Arabidopsis thaliana: one gene and its partners. The protein of the gene in region 1 interacts with the protein of each later gene in a pairwise test. Each region holds a gene or a part of one and is shown in the gene's direction. Other genes may lie near its edges.

Evidence for each region.
Region 2: the proteins of AT1G54320 (region 1) and AT1G14990 interact in a protein complementation assay, tested with the Arabidopsis thaliana proteins (one large-scale study listed by BioGRID).
Region 3: the proteins of AT1G54320 (region 1) and FACE2 interact in a protein complementation assay, tested with the Arabidopsis thaliana proteins (one large-scale study listed by BioGRID).

Annotation. Positions count from the first base shown.
Region 1 is NC_003070.9:20,274,128-20,282,224, reverse strand, and holds AT1G54320 (LEM3 (ligand-effect modulator 3) family protein / CDC50 family protein), read left to right. Parts: upstream 1-4,243; 5' UTR 4,244-4,431; coding exon 4,432-4,519; intron 4,520-4,762; coding exon 4,763-4,821; intron 4,822-4,922; coding exon 4,923-4,997; intron 4,998-5,074; coding exon 5,075-5,188; intron 5,189-5,287; coding exon 5,288-5,358; intron 5,359-5,553; coding exon 5,554-5,851; intron 5,852-5,958; coding exon 5,959-6,248; exon of another isoform or gene 6,249-6,410; intron 6,411-6,438; coding exon 6,439-6,493; 3' UTR 6,494-6,691; downstream 6,692-8,097. Other genes in the region: NAC020 (NAC domain containing protein 20), read left to right, coding at 1,336-1,492, 1,645-1,913, 2,031-2,510; AT1G54310 (S-adenosyl-L-methionine-dependent methyltransferases superfamily protein), read right to left, coding at 6,776-7,042, 7,136-7,320, 7,397-7,583, 7,690-7,912, 8,003-8,097. UniProt on the Arabidopsis thaliana protein: Required for the lipid transport activity of the ALA/ALIS P4-ATPase complex.
Region 2 is NC_003070.9:5,164,611-5,172,707, reverse strand, and holds AT1G14990 (uncharacterized protein), read left to right. Parts: upstream 1-4,443; 5' UTR 4,444-4,556; coding exon 4,557-4,675; intron 4,676-4,828; coding exon 4,829-4,910; intron 4,911-5,005; coding exon 5,006-5,122; intron 5,123-5,183; coding exon 5,184-5,213; intron 5,214-5,303; coding exon 5,304-5,354; 3' UTR 5,355-5,677; downstream 5,678-8,097. Other genes in the region: AT1G15015 (F-box family protein), read right to left, coding at 1-368; AT1G15010 (mediator of RNA polymerase II transcription subunit), read right to left, coding at 1,065-1,493; scpl50 (serine carboxypeptidase-like 50), read right to left, coding at 2,761-4,095; CPN10 (chaperonin 10), read left to right, coding at 6,054-6,158, 6,245-6,384, 6,727-6,778; AT1G14970 (O-fucosyltransferase family protein), read left to right, coding at 7,791-8,097.
Region 3 is NC_003071.7:15,210,572-15,218,668, forward strand, and holds FACE2 (farnesylated protein-converting enzyme 2), read left to right. Parts: upstream 1-3,814; 5' UTR 3,815-4,035; coding exon 4,036-4,245; intron 4,246-4,553; coding exon 4,554-4,613; intron 4,614-4,698; coding exon 4,699-4,905; intron 4,906-5,078; coding exon 5,079-5,190; intron 5,191-5,292; coding exon 5,293-5,364; intron 5,365-5,439; coding exon 5,440-5,502; coding exon of another isoform or gene 5,503-5,558; exon of another isoform or gene 5,559-5,587; coding exon 5,588-5,665; intron 5,666-5,744; coding exon 5,745-5,878; 3' UTR 5,879-6,042; downstream 6,043-8,097. Other genes in the region: AT2G36290 (alpha/beta-Hydrolases superfamily protein), read right to left, coding at 152-197; AT2G36295 (uncharacterized protein), read left to right, coding at 1,184-1,525; AT2G36300 (Integral membrane Yip1 family protein), read right to left, coding at 2,791-3,558. UniProt on the Arabidopsis thaliana protein: Protease involved in the processing of a variety of prenylated proteins containing the C-terminal CAAX motif, where C is a cysteine modified with an isoprenoid lipid, A is an aliphatic amino acid and X is any C-terminal amino acid.

The DNA of each region.
Region 1 (8,097 bases):
TGTTGTCGTTTGATAAGTTAAACTGTTAAAGCATCTTTCGCCAAAATATTTTTCAGTTGCTATCTTTTGTTTTTTGTATCTGTCACTCTCTCTCTCTCTCCCTAAGTTATTGGTGACCACATCTTAAAGCTTCCCTAAAATGTTATTGTTATTTCTTTCTCACGGAAAAGGGAGAGTTACTTACTTGAAGTTTGAATATTATACTTTATAAGAATGGAGGAGTTTTATATATGTCGCAACTTGTGGACTCCCTCAGTATTTGATCATTTCCTTACATAAAACGTTTGATTACTTCATTCTGTTAAATTCCGTTTACAATGTTCTTCGTCTACATGTGAATTATATATATTAGCAAACGAAAAAAAACCATGTAAACGAGACATCTAATATATGACATGAGTTATATATATCATACATGTGAAGAATGAAGATGTCCTTATTTTTTTAATTTATCTTTTGGATCGAGGCCGAGAGTCGAGGCAAAAGAGATTTGACCGGAAGTTAGTAAAATTGAAGGGCCGAGAGAAAGAGAGTCAAAGATTGTGTGGGAGTAATGATGTAAAAGAGCCGAACAACGTCTTTAATCCATATGTAAAAGGGACTAAAGAAGCCTCCCAACACTAAAGCCAAAGTCGACTTGGATGCCTCCTGCTTTTTTATTCTCCCATTTTTTAATCATATATATGAATTCAATTTATAAGTATTCTTATTATAAGACCATAACAACATAAAACAATATAACAAAACTGTCAAACCGAAAAAAAAAGAAAAGAAAAAGCCGAGTGTTTAGGTGTCGCCAGGTAGATTTGGTTTGAGAAGAAGAGATGGGTCCCCTAAACTGTTGAATCATAAAAAGCCTTCATTTTTGGTTTAAAGCAAACGTTATAAAAATCCCTCTATAATGATTCATGACCCACGTTAAGGTCTAACCGGAATTATAAGCATATACATTCATATATGTGAGTATTTGTGAGATGGGGCCTTCTTGCTAAAGCTTTTTCCGTCTCTCCTCCTACTAGGGTTTTCACACTTGCAGAATCTTCAAAAGCCAGAGTTAGGTTTTTATTTAAAATATATATATTGGTTTTAGAAAATATGTGTGATGAGTATCATGACAAACACTGACCAAAAAGCAACCCAAAGTAAGACAAAATATTAATCTCAGAAGATGCCAATCCCATGGCATACTTTTACACATTCCCATATCATATCTTCTTCAGAGTCTCATCTTTTTAATTATATATAGTCACCTTCATATGTCGTACGAACATCCTAATCACTTTAATTAATCTCTCTCATCTCTTTCTCTCTCGTTTTCTAACGCATACACTTTGAATGGCGCCCATGAGTTTGCCTCCAGGATTCAGGTTTCATCCCACTGATGAAGAACTGGTGGCTTACTATCTTGATAGGAAGGTCAACGGCCAAGCCATTGAGCTCGAGATCATCCCAGAAGTTGATCTTTATAAATGCGAGCCATGGGACTTGCCTGGTACGATCCAACTCTTTATATCTCTCTCTATATATGGTTCAGCTTGTTTATGTCAATCTGACGTTATAGATTACATATATTGGTCATGATGCATTCATACATATGATATTGGAGGTTTTATGAGTTATTTATTTGGATAATACGCGGAACAGAAAAGTCATTTTTGCCGGGAAACGACATGGAATGGTACTTTTACAGCACAAGGGATAAGAAGTATCCAAATGGCTCTAGGACGAACCGTGCGACCCGAGCGGGTTACTGGAAGGCCACGGGGAAAGATCGTACAGTAGAATCAAAGAAGATGAAGATGGGAATGAAGAAGACACTGGTTTATTATAGAGGAAGGGCTCCTCATGGCCTTCGTACTAATTGGGTCATGCATGAATATCGTCTCACGCACGCTCCTTCCTCCTCCTTGAAGGTAAATTATTTCCCATGCACAAACTTCTATTAACATATATATCTATATTCATTTCTGATCTAATTTTTTTTTTTTTGATAAACCATATCGACTAATATTAATGTTGATCTAAAACAGGAGTCGTATGCATTGTGCCGAGTGTTTAAGAAGAACATACAAATTCCAAAGAGAAAAGGGGAAGAAGAAGAAGCAGAAGAAGAGAGCACTAGTGTAGGAAAAGAAGAGGAAGAAGAAAAGGAGAAGAAGTGGAGAAAATGTGATGGTAATTATATTGAAGACGAGAGCTTGAAAAGAGCATCCGCGGAGACATCTTCATCAGAGCTAACTCAAGGGGTCCTTTTAGACGAAGCAAACAGCTCATCCATATTTGCTCTTCATTTCTCATCTTCTCTTCTGGACGATCATGATCATCTTTTCTCAAACTATTCTCATCAGCTTCCATATCATCCTCCTCTTCAACTCCAAGATTTCCCTCAACTTTCTATGAACGAAGCAGAGATTATGTCAATCCAACAAGACTTTCAATGCAGAGACTCTATGAACGGGACACTTGACGAAATCTTCTCTTCTTCCGCCACTTTCCCCGCTTCCCTTTGATAAATCCATATCTCATACTATCATCTAGTACTTCTTTTCTCAACTTATTTAAATATACTCGGGTACTTCATATATAGTATTTTTTTTTTTACTTGTTTTTTGCTTATGAATTAGTTTGACTGGTGAAAAAGGGTGAGGAGGTTTGTGGAATTATTTTTTCTACCACAAAAAGAAATTGCATTATTTTATTTTAATTTTTATCATTAGGTGTGTATGGTACTTAATCACTAGAGTTGGTTGGTTTTGTCATATATAGGAGGGAAAACGGAAGTAAAAATTGTGTAATCGATCGACATTACTTATTGGTTTGCATACTTGTAGACTTAAAATCTGGCATGGGCGTCATGGCAACGCAAATTTGGAAAACTTTTCGGATTATATATGTCCGACTGCGGATCAATATCTTATTTAACTATATATATGTGTTATGAATATGAAACAAAAGTTTTAAAATCTGAATGAATAAAGAAAAAATTCTCAAGAAAAGAAGCTGAAAACAAAGAAGAGAGAAAAATCGAGACAAATTTCACTACAAACAAAATAAATTCTTTATTAAAAAAGATGAGAATTACAAGACAATGATTAAAGACATCTCGAGTTTATGATACTATATATAGTTTGTGATTGATTTGGAAGATACAAACAACATTATCATGAAGAAATCTCTAGTTTATGATACTTTTAATTTAATTTAACCAAGTGATAGTGGTCTAATAGTTTTCACTTGAAGACGAATCATCGTTTTTGTCTAGGTCATACATTGATCTCTCTCAAATGCAAGATTATTTAATCATTCTTATTATACTATCCCTAAAACAATCTTACTATAAATGAATCTTTAAAATATATATATATATATATATATATATATTGCAGTTTCAAATCCAAACATATAATAAGATAATAATTTGTTCGTTTGAAATTCAACATGATCGTATATGCATAAACTTGCAATAAAACATACTAAACTTTTTAAATTTTGTATTCATCAATTAACACTGATCATAATCCCATCCTCTAAAGTATAAACTCTAGTAAAACCTCTATAAATTAATACTCGATAAATTAATAATCTCTATAAATTAAGAAATGTTTTTGGTTCCGAGTTGGGATCAGTATAAAAAGTGACACAAATCGATAAATTAATAAGATAATAATTTTTTTGAAAATCCTATATAAATATATGGTCTCATCAATATCATAAATTAATAATTATTTAAATGTATCAATTATATATATACATTATATGTAAGAAATTTCTTTGAAATATAATTCTAATATTTGTTTGCTTAAATTTGTATTTATCCTTATTTGAAATATAGTTTTAGTATTTTACTATATCAAAAACTTTTGGTGTTATTTTCTAAATATGATATTATTTTTTACTTGTAATTGATTCTTGAAAGATATTTTCTATAATGAAAAAAAATCTTATACAAATTTTTGAAAAGTTACTAAATTAGGAAAAATTTTCTATTAATTAATAAATATTAAATTATCGATAAATTAAAACCCCTCTAAATTAATAAAATTTTGCAGTCCGAACATTATTAATTTATAGAGGTTTTACTGTATCCAATATTTGAAGGAAAAACGTTCCAAATCAAAAAATTTGTAGAACTTAAAAACATTTTATGATGCATGGGAGATTTTGGGCTTCAACTCAACAAAATAGAGTAAAGCCCATTATAAAGCCCACAAAGTGGGCCTTTCATTTTGACGTCAATATGGGAATAATACCGGTTCTTTCTGTTAACGACGACGAATCTTCGTCTTCCCCTTGTTCTTCTTCTTCCTCTTCATTTTACTTTCTCTTCCCGATTTCTCTCTGTCCGATTCACCTTTTCCTCCGATCTCGGTCTCCTTAGATTCCGGAATAATCCCCTCAAGGCTTGGCTTAGTAATCGTCGTTTTCTCCGCCATGAGTTCCAATACGGCGTCGTCCAGCGCGGGGGCAGCCGGATCGGGAGATTCTTCCGCCGCTAGGAAGAATTCAAAGCGACCCAAGTGTATTTATCATCTTCCCTTCGCTATCTTCTTCCGATTATTCATTATGGCTTATCGTTGACTCTTCTGTCTTATTCGAATTGGATCAAATTCTCTCTGGACTTGCTAGTTTTTCAATAACAATTTGTTAACAGCTTTGGATTAGCTCAAATTCTTTGCAAAATTGTCGTTACAAAGATGGTTAGGGAACCATGGTCAAAGCTATGGCTAAAAGGTGTGATTTTGTTGGCAAATATCTTTTGCAGATTCGAAGTTCACACAGCAGGAGCTTCCAGCTTGCAAGCCAATTCTAACCCCTGGTTGGGTTAGATTTCTTTCTAATCTCTATTGATGTTTGAGACATCTGATTTCTGTACAAGGCGCAACTAAAAGCTCCTTTTTTTACATGTTTGTGCTGTTGTGCAGGTCATTTCGACATTTTTGATAGTCAGTGTTATCTTTATTCCCCTTGGAGTTATCTCCCTTTTCGCTTCCCAGGATGTAAGTAGTTACTAAAGCATTGCTGCTACTCATCAGATTCTCTTCCATATCTCACGTGTTTCATCTCCCATGTTTAGGTTGTGGAGATCGTTGATCGGTATGATACTGAGTGCATTCCGGCACCTGCTAGGACTAACAAGGTTGCATATATTCAAGGAGATGGAGATAAAGTTTGTAACCGGGATCTTAAAGTGAGTTACTTCTGCCGCCACGTTTGTTTTGTTCTTTGAGATTTGATAGATTTTTGCATTTGTTGTTTACTTTCTCTTTTTCTCCACTGGCATTCATAGGTGACAAAGCGTATGAAGCAACCTATCTATGTTTATTACCAACTTGAGAATTTCTACCAGAATCACCGAAGGTATATAACACTTGTTAGCAACTACGCCGTAGCATTATATAATTTTGTATTAGACCTATAATGAACAATGTGGGTTCTATGTGGAAATCAACACCGATATCATGGAGTAGGCGGGAACTAGGACTGATGTGTGTATCTAACTTAGATTAGTCAAGATTTTATAGCTCTAATGCGTCGATGGTGTCTTTGAAACAGGTATGTAAAAAGTCGAAGTGATTCACAGTTGAGAAGTACAAAATACGAGAATCAAATAAGTGCATGCAAGCCTGAGGATGATGTTGGTGGGCAGCCGATTGTGCCGTGTGGTCTAATTGCTTGGAGTCTTTTTAACGACACATACGCGTTATCAAGAAACAATGTAAGCCTAGCTGTGAACAAAAAAGGCATTGCATGGAAGAGTGACAAGGAACACAAGTTTGGGAACAAGGTCTTCCCCAAGAATTTTCAAAAGGGGAATATCACAGGTGGTGCTACTTTAGATCCAAGAATACCGGTAAACCCTTCAATACTGGAGATCAGTCCATTTTGCCATTGACATCACATGGATGCTGCTTAGCATATTGACCGCTGACATCTTTCTTCCTCTTTTCATATGTGCAGCTTAGTGAACAAGAAGATCTCATTGTGTGGATGAGAACCGCAGCATTGCCAACATTTAGAAAACTTTACGGAAAGATAGAGTCTGACCTCGAGATGGGTGACACCATACACGTTAAGCTGAACAACAACTACAACACGTACAGCTTCAATGGAAAGAAGAAGCTTGTTTTGTCAACCACTAGTTGGCTGGGTGGGAAGAACGATTTCCTTGGCATTGCTTACCTGACAGTTGGCGGGATCTGTTTCATTTTGGCCCTCGCATTTACCATCATGTACCTTGTGAAACCCAGGTACGCAAATCCTTCAAATGTAGTTGTTGTCGTGATGGTAACCTTCTATGCAAGACTTGTATTTCGGCTAAACCCTGGTTGTTTTGGTTGTTAAACTGTCTTATATATCCCAATATAATAATAATAAAATATTCGTGTACATATAGCCGCAGTGTGTTATGCTGAGTAACAAATGTGTACATTGTTTCAGGCGTCTTGGAGATCCGTCCTACTTGTCATGGAATAGAAATCCTGGAGGTCGGTAACAAGCTTGGAAAGGGAGAGAGAGAGCTCTAATCTGCGTGTGTAAATCTTATCCATCCATGTACACATACAATGTAATTTTTGCTTACATACTATGTAATCCTTGCTTGCAAAATGGTTTCTTCGGTGAGAGCTTAAATCCCACATAATACTTTGTTGTTGTTGTTCCAAACCAGTCTAATATATTACTTTTGTCCCCAAATCTGCCTTTTATAAGTCTTCTATGTATGGTTACAAACTACGGACAAAAAAAAGTTGAACTAACAAACCAAACTTCCGTGCGCTCACAGCACCCGAAGCAGAAGGTTGGAGAGATATTGGCCTTGAGGGTAAGATGGGTCGAGTGGGTGGTCAGACGCAGCTCCTGCCTCCCGCACCACTGTGATCTTCCTTCCTGACATTGCTGCAGCACTCTGAAGTATCCCCAAGAACTTCCCGCTCTGTGTCATTGCCCCTGAACATGAGCATGTCATCATAAGACCGCCACTCCTTGTCAATCGCATTGCCAACGAGTTGAGATTTCTGTACATTCCTGAAGCGTTGTGCAAAACCTGGCAACCCACATTGATGCAATCTCATTTATGTAACAACAAACTATGACAATCACTATTTTCAAGAAACGAAAGAAAGGTACTCTACGCCACCTTTTTCCGCGGAGCTAGCTTAGGAGGGTCTAGGATCACGATGTCCCATGTCTCTTCTCTTGACAGTGCACCCTTCATGAATTCTGTTGAATCTTGTTTAAAGAAAACAACCTTCTCTGGATCCATATTGTTGAGGATTACATTCTCTCTGGCGAGCTCCAAAGCAGGTAAAGATGAATCAATTCCTGAAAGTGTTTTGATCAGACGATTCACTAGACAATGCATAAGGTGGATCAGAAGGAGGAGAGAGATGAAATGTACCGATAACACTGGTAGCACCTCCTCTCGCTGCATTCAGTGCAAATCCACCACTATAGCAGCAAAGATCAAGAACTCTTTTACCAGCAGAGATGGTTGATATGAAGTGACGGTTTTCGCGCTGATCCGTGTAGAACCCTGTCTTCTGTCCCTCTAGCGAAATTGCGTATGAGATCCCATTTTCCACAACCTGGTATAAGAAACATTACTCAGCTCTCACCCCTGTAATGTTGCCATATTCATGAAGATATCTGAAGAAGAGAGAAAGACCTGATTAAGGGCACCACACACCGTACCATTGATCTCTGTGGGAGAGTAGATGATTGTGTCTGTTTCAGACTTGAGATGTCAAAACCATCTTCTTTAAGAACATCAAGAGAAGGTCTCCAGTTTATATGATTAATTCCGTCAATTGATCTTAAGCAACTCTCCACTTCAATCCTGTACTTTTCAAGCCAAGCAGCAGAGGATGCTACCACAGCTATATCTCCAAACACATCCACAATCAATCCAGACAATCTGCAGCAGAGCAATAAGACAGGACCAGAGAAAATGTAAGAAAATGAGTTTAAAACAAAAAAAAAATGACGGGATCAGTCAGCGAAATACCTATCTCCTTCACTGTTGACAAGACGATAAGCATTAGTATTAGCCGAGGGAAGTGCCAAACTCTTTCGCAACTGAACTGCTTCAGCGATTCTTGT
Region 2 (8,097 bases), about 15 Mb from region 1:
GTAGCCTCCATGTTCGAATCATAGACCGTCACAACTTTGAGTGACTTTGAGTGACTTTGAGTGACTTTGTAAAAGTTGGCTTTTCCGGGTATAGTTTGAATCTTGAAAGAAAACGGCATGGTCGATGAGTCAAACGTCAATGTCATTAGAGAAGCGTTTTTGGATAGACTGGGAGGATCCCAACGCCCGAGAAGGAGGATATCGGGATCTTCGAGTAGTTGTCCATGAATCATATGTCTATCCTTGAAACGTTGTGAGTCTATAGTGGATCTCCATGTGCTACAAACGCATTTGAATTTACGGAGTGTTTTTACAGGAAGTCGTTCAAGAATATCTTCTACCACATGATGAGGTAACGTTACGTCCATTGAATTGTCTCGTCTCTTTTCTATTTGCTACATACTCTTTTGATAACTATCCATTGAGAGTTTATATACACTGCAGCGCGTAACTAGGATAATTTTCAAATATCTTCAATCATTATCCTCCATATTATTTATTATTTATATTTTAGATAATTATATGATTATTTTACTGTTTATTTTGATTTTTGGGTTTTATTATAAATAAGCCGTTTATACATTCTTTTGTATTCAGTTAATTGATTAATTAAATTAAAGAGTTTTTAGAATACTCTTCTCTTTTCGGTAGATCTTGAAAGATTTCAACGATTATAAGAAGACGTAGGATTCGGTATTCGCAGAGAATCAACGAATTCTTCACGTTTTTTCGTTTCTTGTATTGAGAAATCAACAGATCTGAGAGACTCTAGTTTTCCGGTATTCCGAATAATCAACGGATCTCTAGTCATATGAAGCAAGGATTTTCTTCTACTACTTCACACTGATTACTTTTTTTTCCTAAATCATATGAAGTACGGATTTTTTTTATTTTTATTTTTCCAAAAAAGATGAAATTAGGATTCTTTAAACAAAATCATTATAGAATTTCTCAAGGTATTTGTTGATAATAAATAATTCCATTTTAGTTTTGGAAAATTACCTTAATTTCGACATAAAATAACAAAGATAGTTTCTAGATAAAATAACAAAGATATTTACGGATCATACTACGTGAACGGCGTCCAAAAGCCAAAGAGCTAGATCAAGGATGCGAAAAGCAAAAACGGCGGAGGAGACGGGAACGCTGACGAGGAGAAGAAGACACGTTCCAAACGCGACGCTGGGACGAGAGTTCATGAGAAAAGTTTGGAGAAGAGTGAGTGCATCACATATAGTAGCGTCGTAGTTGCAGTAGAAACGTTTCTCCCATTGCATCCAATGAGAAGGAGGTTCAAAGTTGCGTTCAACCATCTTCATCTCATGGATTCGTTTCCTAAGGACCACCATGTTCTCGTCCACCGTTCTTCCTCCTCTGTAGTAGTCTGCACACACGGTGGTGGTTCGTCTTCTATTGGTTCCGGTGGCGATTCTTTGTGATGTCCTCAATGGATGGAACCTGAGTGTCGATGACGAGATCAGTATCATTTCCATTTTCTGTTGCTTAGGAGACACAATTGGTGGGATTATTTATAAGTTATATTTGGATAATATTTAATAAAAACGGCTAAGGCTGCTTTAGCGCGTTACCTTATCGTAATATTGATGGGGTCACCATCGATCACGTTTCCTTACAATTTCACTTTTGTTTCTTCTCAATTTCAGCTTTACACGTCTTTTACAAATTTGTCGACACGGCCAAATAAAAAAACATCAAACATGAAGCTCCGATGAAAAAGATGGATCGGTGTTAAATTGGAGATATCATTAAATGTCAATCCCATTAACGTACTATCCTCATAATTTATCAACCAATAATTATATGTACATTGACCTCTCCTTTGTTTACATCCAAAAAACGTACGAATCAATCCATATGATTAATTAAGGAATCATGGGGTACTCTCATACTTAACATTAATTTAAGAAATAATGGTGAAGTGATGTCTATTTTTTTTGTTTGTTCTAACAATGGTGAGGTCAAACGATGGACATAGATTATACACAGTAGCCCAATGGGCTTAATAGTTACCTAACTCTGAACCCAATTTTTTCTCGGCCCAACTAAAAGGATTATCGTCCGCCCTAACTCTCCTAATTTCGCACTATAAAGTTGCGAGTTTCACAGGTTTTAGCAGGAGCCGTCATTAGGGTTCCAATGAATTTTGTTTCAATTTTTCGATGTTCTGAATATCATTCTCTCAACAATTAGGCGAAAGATTGATTTTCATATGATTAGTAGTTTTCTTTCTGTTTTCCGCGAATGTTTTTCCGAGAAAATTGAATCGGGAAAGAGGCAAAAAACAGGGGAGAGATTTTGATAAATAGCTCTGAAATACCTGTAGGTTTTCTACGGGGTGCCCTTGCTCTTCTTTCCCTAATACCAAAATGGCTTCATAGTACGGGTTTCTTTGTGCTTTCTCTGTGTTTTGTGTATTTTTTATACTCAAATCACTTTGAATCTCATTCACAATCCCGCCTCCAATCGCCATTACATGTTTTTAAAAATTCTTTAGTTTATGCTTCAAATCTCCTTATTCTTACCAAAACAGTTTATCTGAATCAATCCTTAAGTGTATACTGTATGCTAACTTTTTTGAGAAAGTTTAAGACTTCAGGAACAGGCAAATGATAAACTAAGTAGCAAAAGTTACCAATTCGTACTAAAATGAACTTGTGAACATGACGTAACAAATCTAAATCCAGAGTACAATTAGAATCTGAATTGAATCTTACAGAACTAAGTACAAGTACACAATATTTAGATTGAATGGTATAAGCTCGACGAAGTTGTCTGCTTCACATCTTTACCACCGAACAATCCTTTCCCCAAAACCCAACCTTCAATCATATCCCTTGAATTCACAGCTTTATCTGTCGGAACAAAATGACCAGCTCCTGTAACCGCCACGTGGCACAAATTCCCCCATCTCTGAACATAACCAGCGACCACACCGTCTTCATCCTTCCACACACGCCTCTCCGCCGTCGAGAACATTCCCAATCCTGACCAGTTCATAGTCTTCATCCACTCCTCCGTCGAAACGACGCCGTCTCTTAGATCAAGCATACCTTGATACAGCAAGACTTGAGTCCTCTCCAATGCGTACTCCACCATGAACTTTACGCTCTTCATCACGTCTGCCCGCAACACATCTTCTACTTCATCACTACATTCCTCAAAACGAACCGTTTCACTCACTCCCAAAACACGTTTTGCTTCTCTCTGGTTCAAGAGGTCCACCACGAGGTCTGTTCTGTATGGAATCGCCCGTGCCGTGTTGTAGAGCGTCGCGAGTCCTGTCATGTTACTTAGTAGCGTCAACAGTTCGGTCCTCGCGTCTGCTGCTTCACGCCATTTCTGGGACTTCACGAGAGCTACAGATATCTCCTGCGCTTTTTGCAGTTCAACTCTCTGTTTTGCGTTGACCAGACCCGAGTAGTAGACGTTGACCGCATGGGTTTGAACCTGGGTCACCGGGTCGGTCAGCCCGTTTCCAATGGCTAGCCCCTTTAGATTCACTTTCCCATTGGGTTTCTCTTTAAGGATATAGTATCCAATGGCTGGAACGTACTTCCCGGCGTAGCTCTCTCCAGTGAAGTAAACCGGTCGGTTTTCGAAGCTTGGGTTTTGTTCAAGGAACTCCACGAGAGCGGCGTAAAGATGCTCAGCGACCTGTCTCTGATTTGTGGGTATGTCTTGTTGTGAGGCTGCGATGCTGAATCCGACTCCTATTGGGTTATCCACAAAAAGTAGTCCGAATAGACGGTTCCATGCGCCGGGGTTGCGCTCGAGGTCTGTGGCGCGTGAAACTACACGCCAGGGACCGAGCTCGTAAAAGTTGCCAATCATTGAAGAGCAGCCTGGCCCACCTTGGAGCCAAACGAGGAGCGGAGTGTCAGGAAGAGGTGTGGTTGGCTCTTGGGCTTCGTAGAAGGCATAGAACATGGACGAGCCGGGTGCGGGTTTAACCGGGAGGTAGCCAGATTTAGTGGGGAGAGCTTCATCGGGAAATAGCGGTGGCTGAGGAGACTCAACGGAGACGGCGAGGAGGAGAGTGGAAAGCAATATGAAGAGTGTAGTGGCTTGCTCCATTATTTCCACTAATTGGTGACGCCTTTACATAAAGATCCCTTTGTATTATTTCATTTATTTCATTATTTGACTGCAAAACATTACGTTTATGTTTTGTCTTGTATAACATGTGAATTTTTAAATGTGTAACAATAACATTTTTGTCAAGACGTGCTTGCTTACTAACCTAATTGCATTAACATGTGAGTTTTTTAATTTAAAGGTTTTTGTTTGTAGATGATTTTCCATAATGTATATTATTTTAAATTTATTGTTGCCAAAAGAAATAAAATCTAAAAGTTTTATTGGGCCGAAAAGAGAAAAAGGTCAGATAGGCCCATAAAAAGTTGGACAATACAAAGCGTTTACAATTTGTCAATTGCAAATTTCGTGAGATGCTTCTTCTACTCGTCATCTCTGTTTGGTAAAGTGATCACAAGGTGTTCGATATAATACCTGAAAGAGTTTCCGAAGGTGTGAAGATGATGATCTTGGATGTTTGCTCAGAGGTTATAAAGATCCAGAAGCTACGACGGGCTGTCTCTTACGCCGGATTCTACTGCTTCACTGCTGCCCTCACATTCTTCTATACAAACAACACGTAATGTCTTTCGTCCGATCTCAGTTTGCTTCTTTTGGTTGTTCTTTCTTTTCAATATCGGAATTCGCAGATGATTTCAATTTCTGGGTTCTTCTCTTGGTTTCTGCTTCAGGTTTAATTTGATTTAATGTTACTGATTCGAATGTTGTGTAGAACAAGAGCAGGATATTCCAGGGGAGATCAGTTTTATGCATCTTACCCTGCTGGCACCGAACTTTTGACCGACACAGCTAAGGTTTGTCCTTGATGACAATTTTGAGTTGTCGTTTACAGTTTATATAGTTGATTAGTTCTGTGTGGAACTGATGATTGGGGTTTATTGGAGTAAAGCTGTACAAAGCGGCGCTTGGGAATTGCTATGAATCTGAAGATTGGGGTCCTGTTGAATTCTGCATAATGGCTAAGCATTTTGATCGCCAGGGAAAATCTCCATACGTTTACCACTCCGTAAGTTTCTTCAATCTCTTTATGATAATCTCTGTGGTGCGGATATTTTAGTGTTGTAAAGGTCAGTTTCCATAAGTCTAGAATCTTGATGGTACTGACTTTGTGGTGCCATTGATAGAAATGTTTGTCGAATCATGTGGGGTTAGAACCAAGAATTGAGCTCATTTTATTGTGAATGCAGCAATACATGGCTCACCTTCTATCTCAAGGCCAACTCGATGGAAGTGGCTAGTGGCGCCAGCTCTCTTTGTTTCAGCTTTGTGCCTAATCTTGTTATAGCAAATTCGAATCCTGGTATCTTGGAACATTTGTATGGTGTTTGTATAAGTCCGGAACCGTACCATTGGCTTACATGGATTATTCAGATTTGTACTCTGAAAATTAAGAGCATGTAATTCCCGCAGAGGCACAATGTAATAAACATATAGCATAGCAAAGCAACAATCCGGGGAAAAACTTTGGTTACCACCTTGAAAGAAATGGGGAAAACTGACAGAGCAAGAAGCTTTCCATCATCAGCAGAGACGTTTGATAAAAGAAAGGTCAAGATTTCATTCCACGAAAAATCTGCCGAAAATAAACATCTCATTCTGGATGTGGTATATGAAATGGGATTGTACATGGAGTTTGAAAAACTTGGCAAAGAGAATCATGGAAGGAACTAACCATTTGAGCTGCAAGGTCATACAACACTTCCAAGAATTTATTTAGACAAACACAAATGCGACTGGTTTTTTTTAATGAGTGAGGCCCATTAAAGAAATAGTATGATATTATAGGCCCAAACAATCCCAAAACCCTTGGCCTTTTTCTGTCGCGCTAAACCCTACGATCTAGAACCTTCCGTCTTATGTGTCTCTGCCCCAAATTAAAAACTCAGAAACCCTAGAAAATTCCGATTCATCAACTGAGAGAGAAGAAGAATTGAGAAATGATGAAGCGTCTGATCCCAACGTTCAACCGCATCTTGGTGCAGAGAGTCATCCAGCCCGCTAAAACCGAAAGCGGCATTCTCCTACCTGAGAAATCCTCCAAGGTAAAAGAGCTTTGATTTCACGATTTGATTCTTCTGATTTTCGCCTCTTAGATCTGAAAAATAAACATATTTTTGGGTGATTGCAGCTGAACTCAGGCAAGGTGATAGCTGTTGGACCTGGATCAAGGGATAAGGACGGGAAATTGATTCCGGTCTCTGTGAAGGAAGGCGACACTGTTCTTCTTCCAGAGTACGGTGGTACACAGGTCAAGCTCGGCGAGAACGAGTAAGTTAAACCCGCTTCTTTCTTATTATTGCCCTAATATTCTGATAAAATTCTGATCTGATCTAATTGAACCTTTATGTTTAGCTAATCATGTTCAGGAATCATTATCCATTAATTAGATTAATGGATGGAACTAAGGGAATTACTTGTAAGACTGTGAAGATATTGAAAATTTTGTAACAGAGGATTTAAAAACATTTTGATCAATGTTTAATAATGCCAATTTGAACACCAGATTTACATATTGATTGGTGGGTTGATTTTAGAAACGAATAAGAAATTACAAATGAAGAAGAATTTGACTCAAAGTGAGTAACTTTTGTGTTTGTGTGATGGACGCAGGTACCATCTCTTCCGGGACGAGGATGTTTTGGGAACTTTGCACGAGGATTGAAAAGGCTAAGCTTGCCAACTTAACCACGAGGGTTCATGTTGGTGTTTGTGTTATGAGGAGAAGTCATTTATAAATTAGTTTATCTTGAAGATGTGGTTGGACTTTGTTGTCGTTTATCATTGAATCTACCTTTATGAACCTGTCTTTGAATTTTTACAAATGGGCATCAATCACATGGATAACCCAAGTGTTGCATCTTCTCATTTTGTGCTTTTCCGTAATCTGTGGATGCTTTTCGTTTACGTTTAGGCAGCAACTTCAATAGCCAATGTAGACGATAGCTTAGTTGACTTTGCTTATTCATGATCATGCTATAACAAAAGAAATAAGCTCATTTGGCCGCATGGCTTTTTTTATATAGCATCTCCTTCTTCACATATTGACAACTGAATCAGGTCGAGAAGTAGGTCCATGTCTATGCATTCTGAAAGTTGTGTCTTTTGATTTCCTTTTCACAATGGTTGGAAAACTACTAATTTTGGATTTTCAGTTGTTTAACCCACTCGTTTGGATGATAAGACAACTGTAGTATATTGTCTTGTCGCACCTTCAAATTTAGTATAGGTTGGTTGATTGAAAATATTTCATCTTTCTAACCAAAAACTGAAAAATGTGTATGAAACTCATTGCTATTTTTGGACAAGTCTCTCTGCCAATACAAATTAGACCATACGTAGAAACCGATGCATTGAATTCTCACGTTTAACAATAGTTTTCCATAGAAACTGAAATCAAAGAATTGAAGAAAGAAAAAGACTAAAGAACTATAACACATAAGAAAAGCCAAATAAATACTCAAGTACATGTGATTAATCGATCATGCTTCCACCGCACGAGCGCATACATACATAACATAAATAAAATTTCTCTCTCTTTTGCTTACTTCACTCACAGTTTCGCCGCCGGGATAAATCCGTTCAATCGGCGTTTGCCACCTGCCATTGTTACAAGCAATGCATTATATCGTTAATGGCGTAGCGCATTGAGAAGAGAGAGAGAGAGCAGGGAAACAATGATTTCCCAGGTGGAGAGAGATCTGTCGATTCAAAATCGGCTTCCGGGAAGCGATCACACTACTCCTTCTCCGCCAACATCTCCTCATCTCTGCCGGAGCCGGTCGAAATCCTCCTCTGTCTCCGGGCAACAGCAAAGTCGGAACGTCGCTCACCGTCTCTCATGGATCATTTTATCTGTTCTTCTCCGGCGTCAGGGAATTCTCCTTTTCGCTCCTATCATCTACATCTCCTGTATGCTTTTTCACCTACACGCGGCGTCGTTTGATGCCTCTCCCATTATCCACCGCCGTCCTGCTCCGGGAT
Region 3 (8,097 bases), on another chromosome or scaffold:
GAAATTCAAGAAGTACAAAACTGGAATCTTCGTCTGCGATTTTTGAGAAAATTTTCCACATATATGGTATTTTTTCTTTGTAAGTGACAAAAAAAAAGAAATATCAGAATCTAATGGGCGTAATTATAATGGAAGAGACAAAAGATCAAACCTGAGGAAGGAGACCTGGCGGAATCGGTTGTTGATCCAGTAGCCATTGCCAAAAAAGAAAGAGAGAGCGCGAGAGAGAGAAGTAGCTGGGAAGTGAGAGAAGAGAGAGGTTTGGTCTAATTAACACGCACAGGTTAGATTTTGTTTGGTTTACTTGTAACTTTGGTCGTGTCTTGTTTTGTTTGTTTGTGAATTAACCCAACGTAATAGGATTGAGATGTGAATATCCTTAAGCCACGTAATTCGTTGATTAATTTACGAGTAAATTATTATAATAGAAAAAAAGTTATTATCTTTACAACCGAAATAGAAAATTAGACCCGAAAAAACGGAAAAAGTGAAAATAAAAATTGTGCAAAGTTTATTAAACAAAAGAGTGTGTGTTTATATGTTGGTAGGTATATATTTGATTCGTGTTAGGTGTACCTTCTCCTCCATAAAACCTTTTATAGTATAATACCATTATATAATTATTATCATTTATTTTTGACAATGATGTCGTTGATGCACTCTACAATTACATTCGGAATTGGAATCGACTTTTGAGAAAAGCTTAGGATTCAATATCTTGAACCGGTTCGTGTAATTCGATTGGATGTTGTGCTATAGTCACAAGTAAAAATAGACTCGTTTTGGTGACTACATGTTTGTGGCAACGAACTGAGAAACAATAAGAGAAGTTATCATTTGCTCCTAAGTCCTAAACATATATTATTCGGAAGTAGCTATTAATATAGTTAGATCTAAACAGTGACTGTTGCACCGTACACATTTAATGTACTCAAGTTATTATTATTCTCGATCTCAAGTCACGAGTCTATAACAAATTTCTTTTGGAATTTACTTTCTTCTTTGTATAAAAAAAATCTTTTGGAAGACCCAAAAATTCCCAACAAAGATAGTTGTATATTCGTTGAGGACCGTTCTACTAACCCACCTTCTACTTTAATCACCTTTATATATACGTATTAACCACATAATCAAGTTTAAAACCACAAGGACTCTTAAACCGGAAATTATTTCAAAATCAACAATGACACGTTGTGTTGGTTTGGTTAACCGTGGAACAGAAGAAGAGGAGAAACAAGAAGCAAACGAACCTGAACACGATGGCGAGGGAAGTAGTGAAGAAGACGGCGAAGATGATCTGTTCGAGATAAACCTGGAGGCCGTCAGTGATACGGCCACATCTCCACCGTATGATTGCCAGAGATTACCGGCGAGAACAGGTAGCGTTTTACTGGCCAACTGTCTATTACCAGCTGCCGAAATCTCTAATGCCGTACCGGCAACATCAAGAGGTTGGAGTGATTTGGTTTGGTCTAGAGGGGTTCTCTATGTTGATAATCAAAGAATTGAGAGTAAGAATACTTAATCAGATGTATATCTTACAATTTTACCTTGAAACACAAATACGTATCTTATAGACACTTGAGAGATAATCTTGTCAATATATGCAAGTGTTACGAGTGTTTAATCAGATGGTTTATCACTATCTGGATATCATGGAAGAACTAGGTGAGTATGAGTATATATGGTTTCCTTTGACAAGATCCTGGTAAGGGAGAGACCAAGCCGCCTAAAAGTTTGGTTTCAATTGAGTCCAAGGATCGAAATTGTAGGGTATGTCTTAAGTACATCCACCAGATATATCAGAAATTTTACATCTTTACATTGTATGTTTAAAACAATTGCCTACTCCCCTTTGAGTCAATTTGGATTCTAAAGAAAAGGTGGAACACAAAAATGGTTCCCTCGGAACGAGTGTTGCAACACGAAAATATAGAGATCATTTCTAACACCAGTTCTACTGAATGTTTTAGGAGAAGGTAAAGCTGACAAATACTATGCTCACTCAATTGGACATAGCTGATTCTTCTCGACACATTAAAACAAATTCCATCTAAGAGAGTATGAATTGCGGATAAATCTCTCTCTAATTTCCGTGACACAGCAAATACTATCAGGAAAAGTAAGTGCAGTTCTGGGATTGACAGTAGAAGACGAACCTGAAGCCAAGATCCCATGTCCCTACTTATCTATGCCACCTAATCAGGGAACATACCAACACCGAGCAAACCACTAAATACTAATCACTCTTTCATTAGACTATGCCTAAGTTTCCAACAGCTCTAAAACCAACTCAAAATTCTACTCTACCTACATGGAGCCATACTTTAAGCAAATCTAATGCCAATCATTCCTAAAACTTGGGACCTTTAAGTATAATCCAAGCAAGAAGTCAGCACATCTTCATAGCCTCACACCGGGAAAGTAAATAGCAAAATAAACATGAAATAGGAAGCATATAAACCTCTTCTGCATTAGTACAGAAGCATATCATCCGCAACATCAATTCCAATACTCTCACAAATCTAATGTCCAGGAACAAACTATGTCAAAAGACATATCGACCAAATTGTATAAATAATTCTTAAGTAAGAACCTTAAAGATCAAGTGACAGATACAAACATTGAATCAAATTTCTTAAACACCTTTCTAAATTTATCCAAAAAAGCCTTTACACACCGTGCTATTCCCACCCAATTCAACCTCACATCAAAGAACTTATATTGCAGCCTTTTTTTGCTACTTGCTAACACAGCATCGGAAGTGATTCACGATCTATCAATATGGAATCAAAATATAACAAGAAGAGAGAAGAGAGTATAGATCAAGAAACAAGCGTACGCGATCAAGCCACGGTGCTCTTCTCCACCATCAGCAAGAGATACCACCAATGTAGAGCAGGCTCTAGTGGACCACAACACAAACAAAGCCGCAAGCACAAACCGAACCGGCCCTGCTCCCTGGGGAACGAACAATGACACCGCCGATAAAACCACCACCGGAAGCAAACAGTATCCGACCAAGCTCGTACACGTATGGAGATTAAGGTTCCCATTTCTACCAGCAAGCATGTTAAAGACGACGTATAGAAAGATAGAGGAGACGACGATCCATCCAAGTATGACACCGAACTGGATCTTACCAGCTAACAACTGAAATAAGCAAAGCGCAAGGTACAGAAAGATCGGACCAGATAGATCTGAATCTTTGTGAACAGCTTGGTTAATCCGAAAAGGATTGAGAATCGATCTAGTCTTCTTCCAGATTTGATCTGGATGGATACCGAGCTCGTCGAGTAATGGCTCCTCATCTTCAAACGAAGCTGAACCTCCACCAAAAGAAGAAGAGGAAGCGATTGTCCCGCCGAATGGTCCGGCAGGTGTAGCGGAAGACGCGGCTGCGGATCCAATGTCGAATGACATGAAAGGGATTGCGGAAGAAGAGGGACGCGGCGGTTGAAACGGTGTCGCTGGGAATCTTCGTTGCTGGACATTAGCACCGCCTGAAGATCCACCGGAGGGGAAAACTACAGGTGGAACTGCGAAATCCTTCGTCATCTTCTTTCCGAAATTGAGATCTCACCAAATCAGCAAAGAGATTCGAAATTAGGGTTTCAAGTTTGGATCAATGAGATGAATTTTTTAACCCAATTCACACGTTCGTGACGTTTCAGAGAAAATTCCTTTCTTTTTTTTGTTCTCTTCTTCTTCTTGACAGTGAAGAGACAACTTTAGAAGAAGGCATCTGAGGGTAGTTTCGTCATTCCGTCTAGTTAATGACGAAATATAACCAATAGGCTTCTTCGAAACTGGCATGGTGACGTATATCTTCTGATGATATTACCGTTATACCCTCTTTTATAAACGAAATTGGCCCAATGGGTCTGTTCGGCCCAGTAGTCATCCGTTTTAGTCTATAACGTGGCACGATGTAATTGGTTAAAGATTAGAAGACCGCCGGACTAAGATTTAACCAGCGGTGACTTCGACACTTATTAGCCGGTATATTTCTTCGCCGGAGCTTCCTCAACGATTATGGCCACCGATGGCGAGAGTATCTCGATGTCGTTGGCGGTGGCTACCTGCGTCGCGATGGCACTATTCTACGTTTTGATCCTTTACGTTCCCACCGTGATACTCCGTCTCCCGTCGGCTTCTTCTTACACCGAATTCATGATTCGGCGATTCATCTGCGCGGCCATTTGTACTGTAGCATCTCTCGTCTTCACAGCTTTTATACTTCCGGTAAGCTTCTTTGAGTACCGCCATTTCTCGATTTGAAGTTCATTCTCCGTTGATCTGTAACCAAATTAGGTCCAAATCTAGATGCATTTGGTGTTTTGATGAAAGTTAAACTAAAAGTAAAGAAATTTGATGTATTTGTAACTTTGTTGAGAGTTGAATTAGCTTTTACTAGTTGTTGTAGGTTCACACAATTTGTCTCTAAGAATGTAACACTCAAATATTGGTGACTATGTTGTGTTTGGTACAATTCAACGCTAGTTACAGGAATCTCTGAAACTTGTCTTCCTTTTTTGCTTGAGTAATGTTAGATAAAAAGCTGGGAGGCCTCTTATATACTTGGAGTTTATGGCATAAGGAAAGATCATCTGGTAAGTTCTTTGTCTCAATTTGTTTACTCGTAGCTTATTGTACACTATTCATATTAAAATGGTTATGTTTTGTGATATGGAACAGTGGCAAGGAGTGGTGTATCCTCTTCTATTGACCTCGCTCGTTTATGCTGGGTCTTTGGTGTTGAAGTTGTTTACTCTCCTGGAATCATGGAAGGAAAATGGCGGAGGATGTAGTTCCTTTAATTACATCAGAAGCTTTTTCCAAACAATCCCTGCTTCGGTATTGACAAGTGCTTCTAATGTTTCCGTTTGGCGCAATTTTATCGTGGTAATCATATGTTTGCCATCTCTGTGTGCTTATCTTGTCAATTCTTTATTGAAATTGCATAAGGCATTGCTTGCTAATTGTCTGAGGACTATATGCATCAGTTTGGTGTATAAGTAAGTTCTAAATCGAACAAGTTATAATCTGTTAGAGCTGGCGTTTCTTATGATTTGCAGGCACCAGTAACTGAGGAGCTGGTTTTCCGATCATGTATGATACCTTTGCTTCTGTGTGCTGGGTTTAGGATTAACACTGCCATCTTTCTGTGCCCAGTTCTCTTTAGCTTGGGTTTGTTTCTTTCTCTCTCTCTCTCTCTCTGTGAATAACAGTTTACAACTCGAGTGAAAAGAAAATTACTGGATTTGTCTGACTTTTATATGTTTTGTGTAGCTCACTTAAACCATTTTAGAGAGATGTACATCAGGCATAACCGCAGCTATCTCCGGGCTTCACTTATTGTTGGTATGTCTTTGCCATCCATAATCATAATAATATTGTTTGTTGATCAGTCCTGAGCTTCACTTGTCCGTTGATCAGGTCTTCAGCTTGGCTACACAGTCATTTTTGGTGCATATGCATCGTTTCTCTTCATCAGAACCGGTAACATTCCAGGCATTTATATATCTTATACATGTAAAAGCCTTTCTAATGGATGATTGTCTCCTGCATTGTGTAAATTTTACAGGACATCTTGCTGCTCCTTTGTTTGCTCATATATTTTGCAACTACATGGGATTGCCTGTGCTATACGCAAATGGAAAAGGTAAGACATAAAGTTCAAGGTTGTTAACAAATGCAAATGCAAAAGAATAAGCTAAACATGGTTATGGTTCTTCTCTCAGGTTTGGTGAGTGCAGCGTTCTTAGGCGGTGTGGTTGGGTTCGTCTTACTTCTCTTTCCTTTAACAAAGCCTCTCATGTACAACGATAGTACCAACGATTGTCCGTGTTGGCTTGGCTATTGTTTGTGGAATTGACACTTCTCCAAGTTTTTTTTTATATATCATCATGTCTTAGAATCTATTTTTTGACACAATATTGGAATTATGGTCTTTTACTGCAAGCTAATGTTTCTTGATAGTTTATGTAGTTTTTTCCTTGTAAATATATAATAATAATAATAATTGGTTCAAGTCTCCAAAATTAGTGTTGGCTAATTGTCCATTTTTTTCCGGTATTATCCCTAATGATTCTCTTGCTATCCTAGGAGGGACAGGAAGAAGGATGATCTACATCCCCAAGTCTAACCTAAACTATATTGTCCAATGTCAACACGCCAAAATTCATTTGATTTATATATAAAAATAGAGAAACAATGATTAGAAATTGAACATAGGTCCATAATCTTACATCAGAGATTCAGAAGATGATGTCTTGCTTGATGATCATCCAAAGAGATTTTGGGGGTAATCATCAAACGGATATAATTTTCTGAAAATTATATTTCAAAGTTGACTTTCAAAGTCTGAGTTTATGATGATGATTTTCACTTAGGAGTTACGAAAATTATGTTTCTAGGATTCGTAGGTCTCTCAGTAATTTTCTCACCACCACTTGATTACTATGTCATATTCCTACGAAATTTGAAGCTTGGATAGTTGAATTTATGGTCAATAAATTATCTGTACACTACACATATATTGTGTTTGTGTGAAGTAAACGGTGATTTAACGGGAGAGGATCTCTTCATAAAGAAGATGTGGTTGATTATGCTTGCATATAACAGAATTTGTTGAACCGGAAAATCATCCTCGACAAAACCAATATGCAGTAATCTACTCTAAAATGTATTTTACCCAAACTATACACTACTACTATCTAGTGAGATTCATTACTATTGTTTATGTGGATAGTTTTAAAAAGATGAAGACCAATACTATTATGATCTATTCATAAATCCTATTCTTATTTTATAGTTGTAAGTTGAGCTTTTATAATAGAGAGCATAAATATTGCTGGTATTTGAACTAATACAAACCGTTAAAAAAAGGGAACTAATACAAAAAGAAAAATCAACTAAATTTTCACTAATACTAAAAATTTGCAAAATTATGTTAATTTACGTTTATTTATTTATATTATAAATAAGTGAGTAAAATTCAAAATATTTATTTACCTTACATTTTAAATTTATCATCGCAAAATACACCACAAAATTTCATTAAGAAATATTTGTTTTTTTGTAAAGGAGGTAATAAATGACGTTTTAATATGATACAGTCAATAGGATACAACTTTGATCACGTGATTTAAAATTGGTGGTAAACCTATGTTCTCCTAAACACTTTTTCGTATCTTCTGATATCCTTATGGACCTTATCACTACTTTATCCATATATAAATTTCAATAATTAAAAGAAAACAACCACTTTACAAATTTGTTAATATCAATTACATGGTACCTTGAAAATAAATCTGGTCGAGATTAGAAAACTCTTAACTAACATAACTGAATAATAAAAGTCACATTTTCCAATCTTATTGTTCACAATTTGTTATTTCAAGACCATGAAATTTATAAAAGATAAAGGAAAATGTAGAACCCAATAATAAAAGAGATAAATAAATAATTTAAAGATACTGGTTGTTTAAGAGAAGAGCAGAAGGTACAATGTAGTCCCAGAATCCACCATGTCCTAAACAACCAAACCCCACATGAAAAGGCAAAATAGAAAATCTAATTAACATATAAATGGAAACAAAAGTAAAATATCCCTCAGAAGATAGGCCAGAGAGCATACAACACTCTGTCCTTTTTGTAGTAATTTAATTAGAAGAACCCAACAAAAATATAAAAACTACTCCATAATTAATAATACTACCACTAACCACTATTACTTAGCTAATTTTTCTTACATTACACCAATAAAATAAAAAATAAAAATGATGGGTTCTCCTAATTATCCGAATCCAAGTCTTGTCCTAAAGAGTTTTGTTGCATCAGGATTATCCAGAAGCAGAGCTTGATGAAGAGAGGTTGTTGTTGTTGTTGTTGTTTCCTTGATTTGATCCACTAGAGTTCTTGGTTTTCGAGAGCTTTTGTTTGAGTTCGAAGAGAAGTTGTTGATTCTCTTGGTTCAGAATCTGAGCTTTCTTCCTCAACCTCTCGTTCTCCTTTATTATATAACAGTTTTGCAAGTACAGCTTCGAGTTTAGCCTCTCCATCTCGACAAAACTTGGTTCTGTTTAATCAAAA